Linked DNA regions of Nothobranchius furzeri. The protein of the gene in region 1 purifies or fractionates together with the protein of each later gene. This does not show direct contact. Links are inferred from orthologs where the notes say so. Each region holds a gene or a part of one and is shown on either strand. Other genes may lie near its edges. The genes, in order: trpc1 and cav1.

Evidence for each region.
Region 2: the proteins of trpc1 (region 1) and cav1 purify together in Homo sapiens (affinity purification with western blotting; 3 studies listed by BioGRID and IntAct, with this or other methods). This does not show direct contact. The link is inferred for Nothobranchius furzeri from reciprocal best matches to the Homo sapiens genes TRPC1 and CAV1.

What each region holds. Positions count from the first base shown.
Region 1 is NC_091747.1:48,686,157-48,695,418, forward strand, and holds the start of trpc1 (short transient receptor potential channel 1), read right to left. Parts: upstream 5,610-9,262; 5' UTR 5,239-5,609; coding exon 5,073-5,238; intron 4,703-5,072; coding exon 4,548-4,702; intron 4,383-4,547; coding exon 4,281-4,382; intron 4,193-4,280; coding exon 3,990-4,192; intron 2,157-3,989; coding exon 2,025-2,156; intron 1,902-2,024; coding exon 1,706-1,901; intron 1,288-1,705; coding exon 951-1,287; intron 1-950. Other genes in the region: chst2b (carbohydrate sulfotransferase 2), read left to right, coding at 7,713-9,110. UniProt on the Homo sapiens protein: Forms a receptor-activated non-selective calcium permeant cation channel. Forms a heteromeric ion channel with TRPC4 or TRPC5 that has reduced calcium permeability compared to the homomeric TRPC4 or TRPC5 channel.
Region 2 is NC_091744.1:52,441,187-52,450,583, reverse strand, and holds the start of cav1 (caveolin-1), read right to left. Parts: upstream 6,278-9,397; 5' UTR 6,089-6,277; coding exon 6,056-6,088; intron 5,273-6,055; coding exon 5,105-5,272; intron 1-5,104. UniProt on the Homo sapiens protein: May act as a scaffolding protein within caveolar membranes. Forms a stable heterooligomeric complex with CAV2 that targets to lipid rafts and drives caveolae formation. Mediates the recruitment of CAVIN proteins (CAVIN1/2/3/4) to the caveolae.

The DNA.
Region 1 (9,262 bases):
TTCCCCATTAATGCGAGGCATCTTACTTAGTTAGTGAAGTGAAAGATGAGAGGAAAGGAACAGAACAAGAGAACAATAGTGAACAAAATAAAAAATAAAAAGCTGCTTCGACTAGTGATTGTTGGCAGTGCACATCCGACCCACACGGGGTGGATCCTGATTGCACGAGGATGCTGGAGTTATTACAACGCTTTTCCCTTTAAACTCCACCTGGATGGTTTGTTGAAGCAGCAGGAAAGCAAACGTCACATCTTTTGGGAAAAACAAATAATAAAAACAACTTTTCTAGGGAATTTTTAAGTTCCAGCATGTCACAATGACCTCTTTCCACCTTTCTGGAATTAACTGAACAGCACTAAGCCTCTTATCACAGCATTTAATAACACAAGTTAATAGCTCCTACATGCTGGTATTAACTGTCAGGCTGTTTTGATGTGATGGATTATCATCAGGACGGTGAAACAAAGAAGTGGTTGCTTTTTACAACCACTCCCAAACATCCCAGCAAGCAGCCAGAGCCATTAACAGGCCTAAAGTGGATGATAATGGTTTCTTGGCAGACGGGGAAGGTAGGGAGGTGTCTCTCCAGAGAGAGGCGGCCCATTTCTAACGGCTACGTCATCGCCATAAGAAAAGAGCTGCTGTTGATAATCATGCAATACCAGCAATTAGACGGGCCCCAGAGGAGAAAGAAGACAGATGAAATTCAGTCAAGTAAGAGTTTTTTCCCACATAATATAAAAACAGCCATTTTTCTCAGACTCCAGATAGAATTACAGATAATGGACTTTGGGCAGACCTTAACAGGAATCTCTCATTTTTGCTGCACCGTGCAGGACTTTCAATTATGTTATGGTCTGTAGGGCTGGATTCTTCTCCTGTTTATACTTCTAAAAGAGCAACAAGTATTCAGCAATAGAAATCAGATCCTTATGGCATAAGAGGCTGACCTAGGATCCAGAGGATCAGGAGGTAGTCGATCATCTCCAGCGCCGGGCCCATCAGGTTTTTCTTTTGCTCGTTGTACACCAAACAGTAAAGGTTGAGCAGCAGCAGGAAGGTCATGTAGGAGGCGCTGTGGATGATGAACTTGACGAACGGTGTGTGGATGATCTGGCCGACTCGAGAGCGCGGCACCAGAAGGTAGCAGACGGAGAGCAGCGGCCAGAGCAGCGCCACGCTGGAAACCGTGCCCATCTTCAGGCAGGTGTGTTTGCGCCGGTAGCTGGCCATTTCTCCAAACCAGACGGTGTTGAGGAACTGCTGACAGTTGGACTGGGCCACAAACTGGCAGGAGAAAACAACAGAGGAGAACTTTTACTCAAAAAGAACATTTTTTAGTTGTTTATTTTTACTGATTTTTGCATAAATGTGCATGCTGATATGTGAAGCTGATATCGTTCCTCCTGCTGGAAACTATATTCTACAAGCCATCCTGTTCCAGCCACCCCGGCTGTAAATGATCCAGCTTCGTTGTATTTAAAGCTTCAGTTTGTCGCTGGAAGTAAGTACATTGAGCTGATTTCCCAAAAACAAGCACATAATGTTCTACAGGAGCTGTTAAATCTCACAGCAAGCACACTACATAGCAGATCATTAATCTTTTATTTTGACCTCCATCAGATTTTAGGTATACACTAAATGAAAGCCGAGATCCTTTTATCTGCTGACATTTATTACAATTTGCAGACTTTCACTAACTGACCTCTTTCTGGTTGTACTTGATGGCCAGTTTAAGCCGGCTAAGGTTCATGCGCTCCTCCAGCAGGCCTCTCTTATCAACATGATCCTCGCTAGAGGTGTGATTAAGGATCACCTCCAGCTCCCGGGAGTTCCGAGCCTGAGCCAGCAGATCCTTGGCAAACATCTTGCACTGCTTGGCCAGCTCGTCATAGTCGTTCCTGCAGAGAATAAATTAGACGCCGTCAGAGTCCGTAAAGGCTTTTGCCTTTCGCTGATATCTCTGCATTAACTTCCTGTATACATGTCCGTGGGATTGTTCCACTGGATGCTCAGAGATTCACCTGAACTCCACCTCCACCAGGCTGAGCTCCTTTAGGTCTGCACTGAGCTCAAACGCTCTGAGAATAGGATCCTCCTCGGTCAGCATGATGAGGGAAGGACTCGACAAGCAGCGGTAGATGTCCAGGCGGAACCTGAAAATAAACAGAAGTTGGTTAAAATGGTAGAAATAACAGTATACCATATATTTATGTATATAAAGGGTAATAGGGATGAATGAAAATAGATACACTCGATACTTTGGGGTACGATATAGAATCAATATTTAAAACCAGTATAAATTATTTTTTGTTGAGAATTGACGTGTAAATATTTACTGTTTGTCTTTTGTGTGGTGCAATTAGATCTCCGACTGCTAGGTGGCAGCACTTTTTACTGCCTTCATTCTGAATGACCCACAAGATCTCGTGAAAACACCCGGGGCCTCATTTATCAAGCTTGCTTACGCACAAAACGGGTTCGGAAAACTGCGTAAGCAACTTTCCACACAAACTTTGGGATTTATGACAGAAAACTTAGCGGAAAAATGTGCGCAACTTTAAGTTGACTGAGGACCTGGCTTACGCACATTTTGGACATGGAGAGCACCTGCAGTGCTGCTGCTGAGAAGGATAAAATCATGAATTCCAGCAGCATTATCACTTGTACCGCTTTGTGTGCACACAGAACAAGTCTGAGTCTGACTAAAAGCCAGAAAATTGAGCAGAATGTTCAACATCACCACCATTTTGGTGCAGAGTTGTGTATCTGTGAGACATACAGACCACCTGACACTGTTTACTGGTCACCTTGTGCTATTTTTGTCTCGGGTAAAGACCCCCCTCCTCCCGGGTGAGCCCAGAAGATGTCGTTATTCTTCTCAGAAGAGGAGCGACCATAAAAGATCTAAAACCAGAGTGAGTTTAGGTGAAGCCTACACCAGATGGACCCACATAAAACATTTCACATATCGGCTGCAAACCTCCGCACACTAGATGTTGCTTTGGTACTCGTGTTCCATGTGACACCTTGAATAACTTTTTAATTATGAAACTTTTTTGTTATGAGCTGAATTTTGTTTGTTCTTTGCATGATTATCTTAAATATTCCTGATCCATAAAAGGCTGTGGACCATTAACGAATGTCTTCATTTCACAGCTGTAAAATAAGGCAGAATATTCCAAGTAAGCTGCCTGGTTTGAATGCAACAGAACACTTTTCTGGTACATTAAAGACAAAGGTGTCACAAATCAAGCTTTCCAGCATAAATATAAAAAGTTATAGATGTGTCACTGAGCTCCTTCTGCACTTAATAACTTAAAAATAGAATTTTTAGCTTTTATTTACATATCAAAAACAGCCTGCTGTTTAATTCACGTCATGTGACGACTTTGAGGTTATATAATATTTCAATAACTTGCTTTTAGCTTAATGCACAGGATTGCATTCACTTACTGTAGAAGTAAACGCAACAGAGCGGATTAAATAGGCATAACAATCCATTTTCTGGCTGATTTATTTGTGTTTGCTTCATAATCTGTGCTTTGCAGAGACTGTGGAAGGATCGTTGTGCTTTGTGTGGGTGGAAGAAGAAAACAGCCCAGTGGAAGAGAAGAGATCAGAAAATTCTCATCTGCAAACCCAAGATGGAATAAGTGTCTATGTTTGTCTGAAGATAACACTGTTTTCCTGTTTTGTTTGTATAAAAACTCTGAATGAATTTTACATTTGAACGTAAAATAAACGGCGATGTAAAAAAAAAAAATCAATAAAACTGGCTCGCTGATGCTAGATAACTAAAGAACGATTATAAAGTCCATTAGCTATTCTCTGTGGAACACGGATTATGCTGTAATAACAGCTAAAAGCATCTCTAAAAGGCTTTTGCATAAATAATTTCTTTGTAGATGCAACAAAAACACTTGCTAGCTCTCACTGAAACAATGATCTCTGGCATATTGTTTCTGTAGGATCCTTTGGGCCTGTACCTGGAGTGTCTTAAGCTGTCCTTCTTGTTTTTAGCATTGCATAGCATGCATTCACAGCCAACTGCATGTGGCCGGGGAAGCGAGATGTCCTGCTTCAGCAGCATCGTCAGGATCTCGTAGTTGTTCCTGTGTGCTGCCAGGATGACTGGAGCCACGTCCATGGTGGTGGAATACTCTGGGTTCTGAATCCGCTGCATTAGTTTCTAAGACAAAATAAAACATATCTAAAATATTGTTCAAAAATAAAAACATTATTCGGTTGTTTTAGAGAGGTCACAAGAGGAGACTCACTGCGATAGACGGCTTTGAGGATCGCCTCGGTCTGTGGTTGAGAAGGATGTCCACAGCTCCCACCACCTCTGAGTCTATGGCTACCAACAAGGCATCTGTTGTCTTCTCACACACACACACACACACACACACACACACACACACACACACACACACACACACACACACACACACACACACACACACACACACACACACACACACCTAATATGTGAAAAGATCATACTTATAATGCAAGGCTTAAAGTGATGCCTGTGTGTTGGTTACCTGGCAACCATACTCAAGAAGAAGCTGCAGGATGTCTAGATTCTCGTTCTCGATGGCGATGGTCACCGCATCTCTTCCCAGAACATCCACGCAGTTGACGTTGAGCTCGCCGTGTCGGTTCTCCTCAAGCAGCTTCTTCACCATGTAGTAGTCACCTGGGGAAATGCACATTCGTGGTGAATTTAGCTCCTTCTTCTACACTCAAACACCAGGACTCACTCTCACACTGGAGGTAGTAACAAAGCATGCTTGGCTCCAGCTGCCCCTTTAATCTTGTGTAACAATAACATCTCCCTCAAAGGACAGTCTCAGCTGCGCACATGTGTTTACACAGACTTTATATGGCCACAGTAACAGGGACTGGCTTTACGCTTAAAGCATCCTTCCCCTGTGAAGCATTCTGAGCTTCAGCAATGAAAAACTCGCCTAAAAAATGAGACACGTGTACAAATAAGGTCAAAATTATGCTTTACGTTAAACTGAATTAAAATAACAATATTAAAATGTGAAGAAATGTTAACAAACCCTTCTCGCATGCCAGGAGGAAGAGCTTCTCATCCAGCGTCGTTTCCTCCTTAACTTCCCTCACGTCTTTCAGGGCCAGGAATTTGTCCGGAGAGGAGGCGTCCGTACCCTGGTACAGAGCTGCCATGACGACGGAGAGCGAGTACGGCCAAGCACTGATGTGCATCCCACTAGAAAGCGGCGACCATCACACAAAGAAGCCCGTCATGTGAGCTGACAGCGGAGGAATCCTTCTGAAGCCTGACGGAGCGCCGCGGAGCTTTCCAACCGTCGTCATTGAGGCTAAATCGATAAGCTTTGCTAACACCGTCGCATGTCCCCGCACGCTGTTTTTCTAGCAAAAAAATATTTTAATGCTCGTTTTTTCGACTTCAAACAACGCGTTAGTCGACGACAACCGCGGCCACGGTCCGATAGGGTGACGCTGTCACTTCCTTCGCCGTGTTTACATGCACCATCTTCTCTCCGTAGACGTTTAGTGGTCCTGATGCTGATGGCCAAGGATGCTACTGCGCATGTGCCCACCTCCACGCGCGCGCTGGCGTGTCTCGCACGCGCAGGGCAGCGGTGAGTCATGATTACGTAACAGTCTGTTGTGTTCATTGATCATAAACGGGCCAAACCTCCTACATGAAGCAAAAATAGCTAATTATTTAGGATGAACAGGAAACATGCTTCTGTAGACAAAATATACTAGACTTCATTTTAGCTTTATAATAGAATGACAGAACAAAACAACATAAAACGACTTTGTTAATTTATGTTTTTCCTTAATAAGATGTTTTTGGTGTTTTAACGGGTATTACTATGTTGAAGAAAATTAATTTGAATACAGATTATTACAGATCTTTTTACTAAAGAGTCCGATTCTGTGAGCTTTTGAAGCGTCAGTCCAGTAGAGGGGAGTGTGCACAAAGCTTTAATTAAAAAACATTGGATCAATGCAAAACGAGCATCTGTGGGATGGAGAGATCTGCTGTTCTTTTATTTTTACAGAATGTGGAACTGTATTTTTACAAAACATGTATCAAATCATGCAATAATAGTATAACATTATATAATTAAGACGTATTTTGGAATAAACTGTTTGAGCATTTTCCTTGAATAACAATGGGATTTTTGTCAAAACATATTCTCCTGATCCAGATTTCTTTCAAATGCCCTTTGTGATTTAGAAATTGCATTATCTGAATCCACCTTATTGCTTAGCTGGTGCAGAAACGGCAGCTGCATTGGCATTGTTCTCATTTTCATCAAAAATGCTCTAGACTAACAGACTTCCCTATTCCCCCAGTAACACAGCTGTATTTAAATCAAATGTAAAAACAACAAATTATGTCAAAGCAATTGGTGAGTTAAATTAATAACACTGATAGATAACACCTGACAAATAACAATGATGAATGAAATGTATGACTAAATCATGGCAATGATATAAAATGTTTGAGATATTTGTATAGTTTTTTTCTTTTCAGTTGAGCCAGTAATCCAAAACAGGCAATCTTTTTATGAATATGATTTTATATCAATAAATCACGTGGGTTCTTCAGCACATGGACTACAATTTTTCCTCCAAATGACTATTTTCCCATTATTATCACCGCATCACTAATTAACTTGTGTGTTTTCTAGATTAAACATTCTCTTTAACTGTGATGTCGGTTAGCTTTTTCCTTTTTATGGATCTGGGAAAACCTATAGAGGCAAAAATTAGGGAAAAAATTAATTTAATTTAAAATATTGATTCAACCCTGCAGTTTGTGGAGAGATCCACATAATTACAGAACTTGGACTAGATGTTGGATTTAAACGGGGCGTCGATCCTTGAGACAGCAGCGTGGTGAATTGTGGCTTTGAAAAGCAAAAAAACTAAATTAAAAATGTTTCATCAAAGCGATTTCTGTTTCGCTCGTGTTCCAAAAACGGATGGGTGGAGGTGGTTAGACTGCGAGCTCTCCATCTCATAATAACAGCATTCAACCATTTCTGTAGCTTCCACTTCACGGGCGGGCGGCAGAGCCAATAGCGAGGCTCGATGCCGCGCTACGTCACGCCCCGCGCCCAATAGGCGCTCTCTAAGGGCGGGACGCATGTCCTCTTGCTTTCTGATTGAATCTGCTCGGTTTGTATTAGTTAGACGAGCCCTGGAGTAGCTCGGGAAGCCGTGACTGCGGACCCAGGCGCTTCTCGTTAACATCCCGACATGATTTAAGCGCGCTGCGGAGGAAACGCGCTCCATGTTGCGTCTGAGCGGAGCTGCACGGATCCTCAGGATGTTTGCTGCGCAGAGATGCTTCTGCTGAGCATGGACGAGAAGAAGAAGCAGGGCGTCTGTTACAATGAAGGCGTCCCCTTTTTTGTTGTGAACACGGGCCACACCGCTGAATCACTGCAACGCCACTATGGACAACTTAAAGAAGGCGTCTGTCCCCCATCGCTCCCATGAAGAGCATTGCGCAGTGCAGTGAAAACTGGAAATCGTGCTGCCGAATAGGAGGGGAATATATTACCTAATCACCCGCTTCTGTACTGGGAATTTATTCCCAGTGCAGCCCCCCCATACACACACTCTACAGAGCGTTGGTGCATTTTCAATGTAGAGCTTTGTCCAGCGGTGGGAGCCACACTCCAGGGGCACAGATGAGAGGCAAACAATACCATCAACCACTGAAGTTGACAGCGCCTTGGGAGAAGGATGCTGGCTTTGGGAGGAAGCTCAAAACCTACAGGAACCACACCAAGATAATAGCACAGCCTGGGATCGTGATGAAAGTGCTCCGCAGAAAGAGGATTGTGTTGTTTATGGCCTATTTCCTACTGCTGGTCCTCACCATGCTCAATTTGGCTAATTATAAATGGACCAAGGAGCCACAGCAGTGCAACCATCAGATGAGGAGCACCACTTATCAGAGCAGATCTGACATTCGCTTCCTTTACAGGCCCTCTCTGGCCAAAAAGAGACAGCTCATCTACGTCCTGACCACCTGGAGGTCGGGCTCGTCCTTTTTCGGGGAGCTTTTCAACCAAAATCCAGAAGTGTTCTTTTTGTATGAGCCCATGTGGCACATCTGGCAGAAGCTTTACCCTGGCGACGCCGTGTCTTTACAAGGGGCAGCCAGAGACATGCTTAGCTCCTTGTATCGCTGTGATCTGTCTGTTTTCCAACTTTATAACAGCCCCGGAGGCAAGAATTTCACCTCCTTGGGACTGTTTGGGGCCACCCTGAATAAAGTGGTGTGCTCCTATCCCCTCTGCTCAGCCTACAGGAAGGAGGTGGTGGGGATGGTGGATGATAAGGTGTGTAAAAAGTGCCCCCCTCAAAGCCTTAGACTTCTGGAGGAGGAGTGCCTCAAATATAACACCATAGTCATTAAAGGGGTGCGTATCCTGGATGTAAACGTGCTGGCTCCTTTAATGGAGGATCCATCCTTGGATTTGAAGGTGATACATTTGGTTAGAGACCCGCGGGCCGTCGCTAACTCCAGGATTAAGTCTAGACACGGCCTGATCAGGGAGAACTTACAGGTGGTTCGCAGCAGGGACCCTAAACTTCGACGGATACCTTTTGTGGATCCGGGCCACAAAGCCAATAAGAAGGACGGCTCCGACTATCACTCCATCGGAGCCATGGAGGTGATCTGCGACCGCACCTCCAGGACCTTAAGGACTGCTTTAAACCCGCCCAGCTGGCTGAAGGGGAAGTACATGGCGGTGCGGTACGAAGACCTGGTGGAAAACCCGGTGAAGACGCTGAGGAGCATCTACCGCTTTGCCAACCTCACCAACAACCACGACATCGAGCTGTTTGCTCTCAACATGACCAGCGGCTCCAGCTCTTCCTCGAAGCCGTTCATCGTCTCCTCCAGGAACGCCACACAAGCCGCTAGCGCGTGGAGAACGGTGCTGAGCATTCAGCAGATCAAACAAGTGGAGGACTACTGCCACCACTCCATGTCTGTTCTGGGCTACGAAAGAGTGAGAACAGCAGGGGAGGCCAAGGACTTGAGCAAATCCTTACTGACTCGCTCCAAATTGTGAAAATGAAAAAAAAAAAACCCAATCAAACATCCTCACCACCAAAGACCTAATTTAATGTCCATTTCTCATCGAGTGCCGTTCCCTCTTATTGTGGAATCAAAGCTTTACTTTTCAGTGTTTGAGGAGCTCCACTGGCCACATTTGGAATGTAT
Region 2 (9,397 bases), on another chromosome or scaffold:
ATTTAGAATATAAACCAACACAGCAGCTTAGCATTACATGAATATTTACTTGGCATTCGGTTTATTTAAATATGTAAAGATGGCCAGCAGCTGCAAAGTGTAGAAAGTCTAGAGCATCCAGGGTCAGGTCTAGCAGAAAGCTAAATATTTCTACCGTCTGATGTGAAATAACCAGAAATGTAAAGGTTTATAAAATAATGTTTAATGGATCACTGCAAAAATTCAGAGATCGCTGATGTTTGAAGTAAGACTGGCTGTCCTGAAGGTGGGCAATCCCCATTTCTCTGAACACGGGCTGTTCAGGATGTAATGCTGTGTATTAAACAAGAAAAAAGTACTTAAGAGTTTAGTGTTTCAGGTAGGAACACTAGTAGTAGGTCTCTACCTGCTTAGGCTAGCAGCTTTTTCAGTTCGCTGGTCATCAATAAATGCACCGGAAGAAGAATTTAGCCTTATTTGTTGGCATCATGGCAGAGCATGGAAGGAAAAATAAGAGAGTAATGTCTTTAGAGGCGAAGCAAAGAGATGAAGCCAGAGTGAACGTCGGCGCGGCCTACGCTCGTTTGAGGGAACAAAAGAAGGCTACACAATCACAGACTGATGGTGACCTGGCTTTGTTGCTACTGGACTTGTATGTAATAATATTTTTGTCCAACAGTGTGGGTCTTTTTACTTTGTGGCTTATTTAGCATCAGTTGGTGCATGTTAGCATGTTGTTAGTGGGAGAAGTGGGAAACTTATTCAGTGTTGCTTTAATGGATTCAGTGTCCTGCCCACAGACACGGACTCAGAGGCAGGAAATCAAACCGCTGCATGGTGCTGATGACAGGAAGCTGAAATACAGACACAAGGTGCTCACATACAATAAAAATTACAATCTGTATCTAAAAAAAAAAGCAAAAAAGCAAAACTTTGTTTCCCCTAAAATATACAGAAATGTATCGAAATTTCAGGAAATATTTTTATCACCTTCTTTTTAATTATGGACTGGTGTTCCATCAAAGGGCAAATAATTAAAACAAACTTTGTGTCATTTCCTGGAGTTCTAACATAAACACGTCTGAGAACTATCAGCTCCTCGGGTTTCAGTGCCTCTGAATGTGTTTTAGACCAGCAGCAGCATAGAGCCTCCCTCTCAGCAGCGCAGCCACAAAACCGCTCCGTCATCCATTTAGTTTTTCCACCGCTACAAATCCTAAAGTGGACCAACTCTGAGCCAGTTTCCACAACTCTGATTGAGCCTAAATGAGAGGCCTTCTTCAGAGAGGTACACACACCGCCGCAGAGAGGGGGTGGAGACGCTTTAGCTTTTTAACCTTCAGGGTCACACCGTTAGGGCAAAACCAGCGCATATGTTTCATCAGATGCAGCGTTTTTATTTAATAATTTATTTCCTTATCTTTTAGAAGGATGAGCCTCTTGAGAGGAACCGTCTCGTTTGTGAGTTACAAAGTTAAACGTTTCAGCTCAGAAAACAAGTTTCTGGATCAAAGAAAACCAGAGAAAGTAGATCCATCCGAACCAGCCTGGTTCTGAGTGGAGCTGATTCAAAAGTCCAGTTTGATGTGAAACAAAGGGGTCCAATGGTCAGCATGTGACCGGTTGGCATGGCAGTTGTATTGTTGGGTAAATAAGGCTGAGAGCTATTTCCAGAGCTCTGTCTTCAGGCCGCTACACTCGACTAGACAACGTGGGTCCGTGAAGGGGCCGGGTGTGCTGGCCCTTCAGCCGTCAGAGTCAGAGGACGACGACACAAGTCCAGTGTTTGTTAAAATGTCACTAGTGTAACCATGAAACACAAGTCTGCTCAAACACATTCAACACAATCAGGTTTGTACTCGTTTCTGTTCTTCCTACGTTCGAGTTTTGACTCAGACAGACTTGTTTCACTTATTCGAACGCCCTAAGCAGCTACTGTTCAACACACAGATGTGGAATGACCTACCAAGCGCTACCCGGACAGGGCCGTCCTTGTCGACTTTCAAGAACGTCCTGAAGACCCTGCTCTTCAGAGAGCATCTTCTAAACCAGCACCCTCCCCGCGCCCCCTGCACCCCCCCCCCTCTACTGTCCTCTCCTTGTTCCCTTCCCTCTATGACTCACTGTGCTGCATCACTGCCACCTAGGATTGACCGATTAGTGTTCGTTGTTAGCTTCAAGGGCTACCTGCTGCTTCATTATCACTTGTAAGTCACACATTAACATAAAATGCTTTGAACATTTGATGGTTGAGCTGTGCTGTTCACTAGATGTTGGTTCTGATGGGTTGTTCTCAGCTGCAGTCAAAGGTTTTGTGTTCTGGTCCTTATTCACACCCTGAGCTCTGATCAGCGACATCAGGTTATTCTTGTTCACAACTTTTCTACAGAAATAAACTTCAGAACTTGTGAACTTTCCCTCTGAGACATTAGCTGGTCTCTCACTGAGATGTAAATGACTCACCAACCTTCTCGACTCTGGTCCTGCTCCTTCTGAAAAGTTTTCTCTACTCACGGGATCGTGAGGGACACACACACACACACACACACACACATACACACACACACACACACACACACACACACACACACACACACACACACACACACACACACACACACACACACACACACACACAGCTATAAAAAGACCGAGTGTCTCCACAGGAGGAAAACACCCTCTCTGTTCTGCAGTCTGAGCGAGTCATAGAAGTGTTTGATGTGGCCAGAGGTGATTGAGGCCAGCTGCTGCTGAAGGAAGGCTCAGATACTGTGTGTGTGTGTGTGTGTGTGTGTGTGTGTGTGTGTGTGTGTGTGTGTGTGTGTGTGTGTGTGTGTGTGTGTGTGTGTGTGTGTGTGTGTGTGTGTGTGTGGTGGAAGGGATTCCCCACTTGTGCGTTTCCACCGCAGCACACTGAACACACTCCTCTATTTAGCCGAGCTGATTCATGACCTCACAGGACCTCAGAGCTGCCGCAGCTCTCTGTGAAGCCGCGTTTCGGAGCTGGAATCTGGGACGAGGCAGACAGAAGCTCCTCAGCTCTGTTCCACTCACCCTTGGAGAGCCCTGGTGGCTACAGCACAGGTACACACTGGGGATGTCGGAGGCGGAGCTTCTTACAATGATAGTTCAGATCCTTAGATGTGTGTTTCTGTGGAAAAGTTATGAACAACTGTTGTCTCACTTACTGTAGGTAGCTGTGTGAACAGCCTCAGTTTGGGGGAATCTGGCTAAACTCACGAGCTAACAGTGAGGTCACGATGACCTCAGAGCTAACGTGTCATTTTAAAATGATTCTAATCACTAGAGCGTTTTCATGGTTCAGAGCATGACTCCACACTGGGTCCTTCTCATGTTACACAATTGTTCTGGACCATTAATATTGTTATTATTATTATTATGAAATGTTACAGATCTTCTAATTTAGGATGAAAAGAACTTTAAAGATTTTATTGAAATGTTGTTTGCATGAATGTATTTTTAAAGAGACAAGCAGGTTAAAATGCACACTTGTGTTATGCTGACTTCCAGATTCTGCGTTTTATCTGATCTGCCACAAATCTGTCTTTGATGAAAGTTGCCACGACCGTCTCAGAGTGTTAACGCTAGGCCATGCAACCCACTGAGAGTCATCTAGAACCTTACCCTGAGACCTTCAGGAACCTCTCTTGCTGGCACCATCAGCAACAGTTGCAGACCAGATGCCAACATCTGTTTTAACTTTAGCAGCCAAACTGCAGCCATGACAACAATGAAATAAAACACTGGAGCACCCCGGTCCTGACTCACCTCTGAAAATACTTTTGTAACGCTAAAAAGGCAGGACCCCCCCCCCCCCCCCACCATGACGAAACTAGAGAACGTTTTGTCATTTTTCCTGTTATCGTCATGTGATATCAGATTGTTTCGCCTCCTGTCTTGAATGTGTGTGTGTGTGTGTGTGCAAGTGTGAGTGTGTGTGTGAGTGTGCAAGTGTGTGTGTGTGTGTGTGTGTGTGTGTGCGAATGTGAGTGTGTGTGTGTGTGCGAGTGTGAGTGTGTGTGTGTGTGTGTGGGTGTGGGTGGTGGTTGTGTGAGTGTGTGTGTGTGTGTGTGTGTGTGTGTGTGTGTGTGCGAGTGTGAGTGTGTGAGTGTGAGTGTGCGTGCATGCGTGTGTGTGTGTGGGGGGGGGACTGGAGGGAGAGTCTGACTCACTTTCACATTGGAGAGCTGGGGAGGAGGGAGAGACAGCATGAGTGCAGACAGGAGCAGAGACGCTGGAGAGCAGTTTTCCCCTTTTTATCCAACAGCAGCTTCTAGAAGGTCACGTGGGTAACATGCATCCTTTTATGTGTTTTTGGAACGTCTCTTAAAAAGATTACCGTGAAAGCAGCGAGATCTTCAAGTGGACTTTAATCATAGTTGGTTCCTTTTACTTTGAACTGCAGCATCTCAGCCAATTTTTCATCCCAAGAAAATCCTCAGTCAGTTCCCTCTCCAAAAACTGTCAGATGCTAATAAAGAAGCATCTCTGCTCCCTTGGCTCAGGTGCTGGCATGCAGGGAGGAGGGGGGAGTAGAATGGGAGAAAATGTAGGAGGAGGGAGTGGTGAGGGATCCCATCAGATTAGCAGGGTGTTTCAATGTTTTCACAAGGGTAGACTCAAGCAGGTGCCTCGCTGCTCCCTCTCCTCTCCTCACCTCCTCAAACTAAACACACTTCCAGCCTTTGTGCGAGCAGCCTTCTCCCTTACGGAAAGAATTTGCTTTCATCACAAAAAGGCAAACAGCGACTGTGGGAATCAACGCGCGCAGCAGCAACAACAGGAAATTCGTGATGTTTCCTCTTTAGAGCGGGATTGTCACGTTTCAGAGCTGATTATGATAACTTCTTTCAACTTCACCGCGTTTGCAAAGCTTCTTCCTAATAGGGGAAAGACACGGAGGGGCTGGAGATCAGCGCGCAGCCGGAGCGCGTCTCCGAGACGCGCACTTCAACAGCTGCCAGAAGTTTGGCAACGTTCTTAGACAAACGTAAAACTATCACCTTGATTTTCTCTCAACACTTCGTTTGCAGCAGTTATACAATAAAGCATCACTCCAGCTGCACCTTTTAGTTCAAACGTCAAACTTAAAGCTCTGACTCACCTTGACGACGTTGTCGTTTATGTGCTTGGGGTCCCGGTTGACCAGGTCTATCTCCTTGGTGTGGACATCCTCCATGGCCTTTTCGTTCATACTGTCGTTGTCCATGTCTTTGTTGTTCGGTTTGTAAATGTTTCCTTGTTTTCTGATGAAGGGTGAATGCGGAAACTCCTGTAAGGATTCACGTAGAGGAGGAGGAGGAGGGAAAGAAAGACAGAAAAAGAGAAGCGTGAGGAGGAGGAAGAAGGGTGCGCAGCGCGCTGAGAGGGAACGAAGGACTGGAGCAGCCAGCCACACAAACTGGGATGGGTTTAAATGAACGCAAAGTGAAGCACCACACCCCTGCGTTCAGCCGCAAGGGGTCCTCACCACGCAGGCTGCTGCTCCACATCCTGACCCACCTCACAGCGGGCTGGAATGCACCTGGGCGCACGGAAACCTCTCTTTTGGTGAATGCGTAAAAGTACGCATCCCCAAAAATCTATTAAACCAAATATCTTTAAATTAATTCATGTCATAAACTGCAACGAGTCCTCTCCTCTCGATAGGACCTGTGCGACACGTGATTATTAATAAATGGTGCCAAAACATGCAGGTTTTCCGTGTTTACTACATTAAACCCGAATGCGTAAAAGTGCGTCAATCTGCCACTTTCTCGTTTTTTACGCAAATATATGTGTTTTCGTTCACTTTCGCCAACGTTATGGGTAATATAAATAAAAAGGGGTTCTTGCTGACAAATAGACTGGTCTTAAGAGTGTTCGCATCACGCAAACGTTCTTAAAGAAAACTCCAAAGTCCTGGAGAGGCGACAAGCTCCAGGTGTGAGGGATAGAAACATGAAATTCCCCCTCGTGGGTCCAATAAATCCTACAGAGATGTATTACCTCCTTAATGAAAAAATATCAAAGCTCAAAACTCTGAGACAAACTACAGCTGAGAGTCATACTGTACCTCTTCTGTTTCGTCCTTCAGTTCTCCTGTCATTCTGTCCGCGACTGGAGGAATCCTCGTTCAACCAGATGCGACAGGAGAGGAAACCGAGTGGGAGGCGTGGAGGCACACTCCCAGCTCCGCGCTTTCTGTCAGGGACCTGCCTCCAGCATGCCCGAAGGGAAACCCGCTTTTCAGGGGACTCCTGTATTCACAAGCGCTGCAGCGTGTCCGCGCTGGAGGAGACTCTCACACGGACTGAAGGGCTTCTGAAATAAATTGGCACAGAGCAACTGCGTTTGGGGATCAAGGCAGAGGATAGCATGGCTTATTTGTTGGGTGAAATGTGGGCGTTAATAGGGAATGACAAGGTGTGGATACCTGCAGCTCGCAGGGAGAAAGAGCCAGATGGAGAACACCTATGGATCGTTTGTAAAATCATACACCGATCATATTGTAAAAAATACAAATTCACAATAAAAACCAAAGCTATCCAGGATTTAGATGGTTTTAAACAAAGTTATTTGCTAACGTTTGCATTTAGACTGCGGTCCACAGAAATGTGAAGAGGTCTCTCCATGTTAATCTATGTTATATCTGAAGTGGTTCTCGGCACATTCAGATATGATCCATAGTCAAACCGTCTCATAGAATCCCATCACCAAAGCAATTCTGAGACCTTAGGAGCGTTCTTCACCCGCTCTTATTTTGGTAGGCTGCTTTGTTTTTACACAGGTCTGATATTGTAAGTTGGCTGATTATTGAGTTAGATTTCAGTCATTTTCATCAATTTCTTGTTGTCTATATTCATCCAAAAATGTATTTTTCATTTAATGTGTGTGTGTGTGTGTTGCTTTATAATTGGGTTCATTTAAAATGTTTCACTTAATGTTTTAAATACAGTAACACAAAAATGTACAATACATGTTTTGCCTCATTCAGTTCATAATAATAAAAATAGTCATGATGGTAAATTGCCTGCATTTGTGCTGGGATCTTCTCTCCAGCCTTCTAGACTCCTGAAACCCCCCAAGGTGCTTTATAACACAATCAGTCGTTTAGCCCAACCCCCCCCCCCCCCACACACACACACATATTCACCCATTGGTGATGATGAGCTACACTGTAGCCACAGCTGTCCTGAGGTGGACTGATGGAGGCAAGGTTGCCGAGCACAGGCGCCACCGGCCCCTATGACTACCAGCAGCAATCCACTCTCCCTCCTGAGCTGCTGCTGCCCATGATAAATAAATAAAACTACTTTATAATAATCACATTTTTATTCGTAGAGTTACATGTAATTGTAGCCTTTCATGATAAAAGCACGCCGAGGAGAATCCCTACCTAACATCTTTGTTGGTATAATGATCTGAGGTTGTTGATGTTGGGGTTCTCCCTGCATGTTGTAAACCTAAAACTAACCAGATTTTCCCACAAAACCAATCAAGTTTAGTATTCACTGTTGGTCAGAAATATCCCGGAGAAGCCCCCGTTTTATGTTTTGACTTTCCTCTTTAGGCCCCAGATGAATGCAGATCTAGTTGTATTTAACAACAAAGTTATGTTACAACACCTAAACAAACCAGAACAAACAAAGTAGCTACAGTTATAGATCTGATTTAGGTGTGCTTTAAATCCACACCTTCCCAGGTGCAGCCTGTCCACGCAGCCCAGCTGATCTAGAACGTTACAGTACCACCGCTTGGCCGTTGAGGATGGATTGTTTTGTTGTTGGAAATCTTCTGCAGAAAGCTCAAGTTCTTCATTTCCACCAGGATCCTTTTCTCTTTTATTGTGAAGAACCCCTCTGTGATGTCTCCTCTGGACAGTTGCATAAATAAATAACCCCCACCTACTTCCAAAGGTGCGGCCTTGAGCGCAGATCAAAACAGAGCAGATGTGCACCTGTTTCACATAAAGATGTTATCCTGCTGCAGCCTGGAACAGTTTCACACTGAGACAACAACACCAAGAGCTGAAGACAAGCAGCAAAGTGTTTGCATGTGAATCCTCCCGAGGCATCATCTGTGGGAAACCAGTTACCGTAATGACAAGGCACGCTGGTGTCACTCAGAACACTGACAGAACCGGTTCTGATTCAGCTGATTCTGCTCAGGTTGTAAAGGTAAACCTCTGTGATTGTGAGGAATAGCTCTTTGCTGAAGGTCATTTGTGCTAAATTGCCTGTGACTCTAACCGGTATGCACACAGCTGAGGTAGTCATGTGATCGCAGTCAGTAGCTCACTTTAGCACAACCATGACGATCTCTGCTGCTGTCGTTGTCCAGGGACAGACGTCTGGTCAGAATCCTGCTCTCTACAGGTTCCAACGCAGTCATCAGGAGAGACGAGCACTGAAGGCAGCAGCCAGAGAGGTTCTGTAGCTGAACCGCGCGACAGAAATGTGACTTGAACAGGTTTATGGTTCAGGATAAGCGAGGGGTGAGGACACTTGCTGCTGGAGGCCAGGGAGGAGGCACTCTGTGTGGGAATTCTGACTCGGGTGCTAGATTATTCCTGAGACATGGTAGAAGATGGAAACAGTTGAAAGCTGACAGGGATGAATGAATGAATGAATGAGAGGGGTGAAGATGAAGGGATGATGTGGTGAATGGTTGAGGATGATGGATGGGTGAGGTTGAAACTGAGACCTGAGCTATAAACATTCCTGGGTGATCAGAGGCTCCGCCCCTTAGAAAACTAGTTAGATTTAAAAATAAATAAAATGTTTTAAGTGAAATGTTTTAAATGTTTCTTTCTGATTTTAGGATCTGCTTTGGGACACCCTGACCTCAGCAGATGATCCAACGTTACCTTCAGTCATAAATCACTGATGCAGCATCTCAGGGTTTATGACCACAGGGAGCAAGCCTTAAAACATGAGTGAGATTTTCTTCTCACATCATCGCTTCACACCAGTATTCAGGTGAAGGTCAAAGGTCACTTACTTACCTACAACCTGCTATCCCTCCTGGGGTATGGGCTGCCAACAAAGGATCTCCAGGCATCTCTGTCCTGGGATCCTCTCTCCAGCTGGTCCCACACCATTCTCATGATCTATCTCCAGGTCTCACCCCAGGTGGGTGTTGGCTGATGTTCAAACCTCTACAAGCTTCCTCCGGGCTGAGTTTTCCAGAGGCATCAAGCTCTTCAAACCAGATCATCTGAAAGCTTCAGAGTGAACTGATTCAGCGCAGAAGTTCAGTCAGACTGTCTAACTAGAGATGGTGACGTCGTATGCAGTTTCTGACTAGGCTGATTGAGAATGTTTCCTTCAGCTTGTGGACTTCAACACACACCTGTCTCGCCTTGGTGAGGCGAGAACTTTGTTGGGGTCTGTGTTCTTCCGAAAGGTGGAGTGGC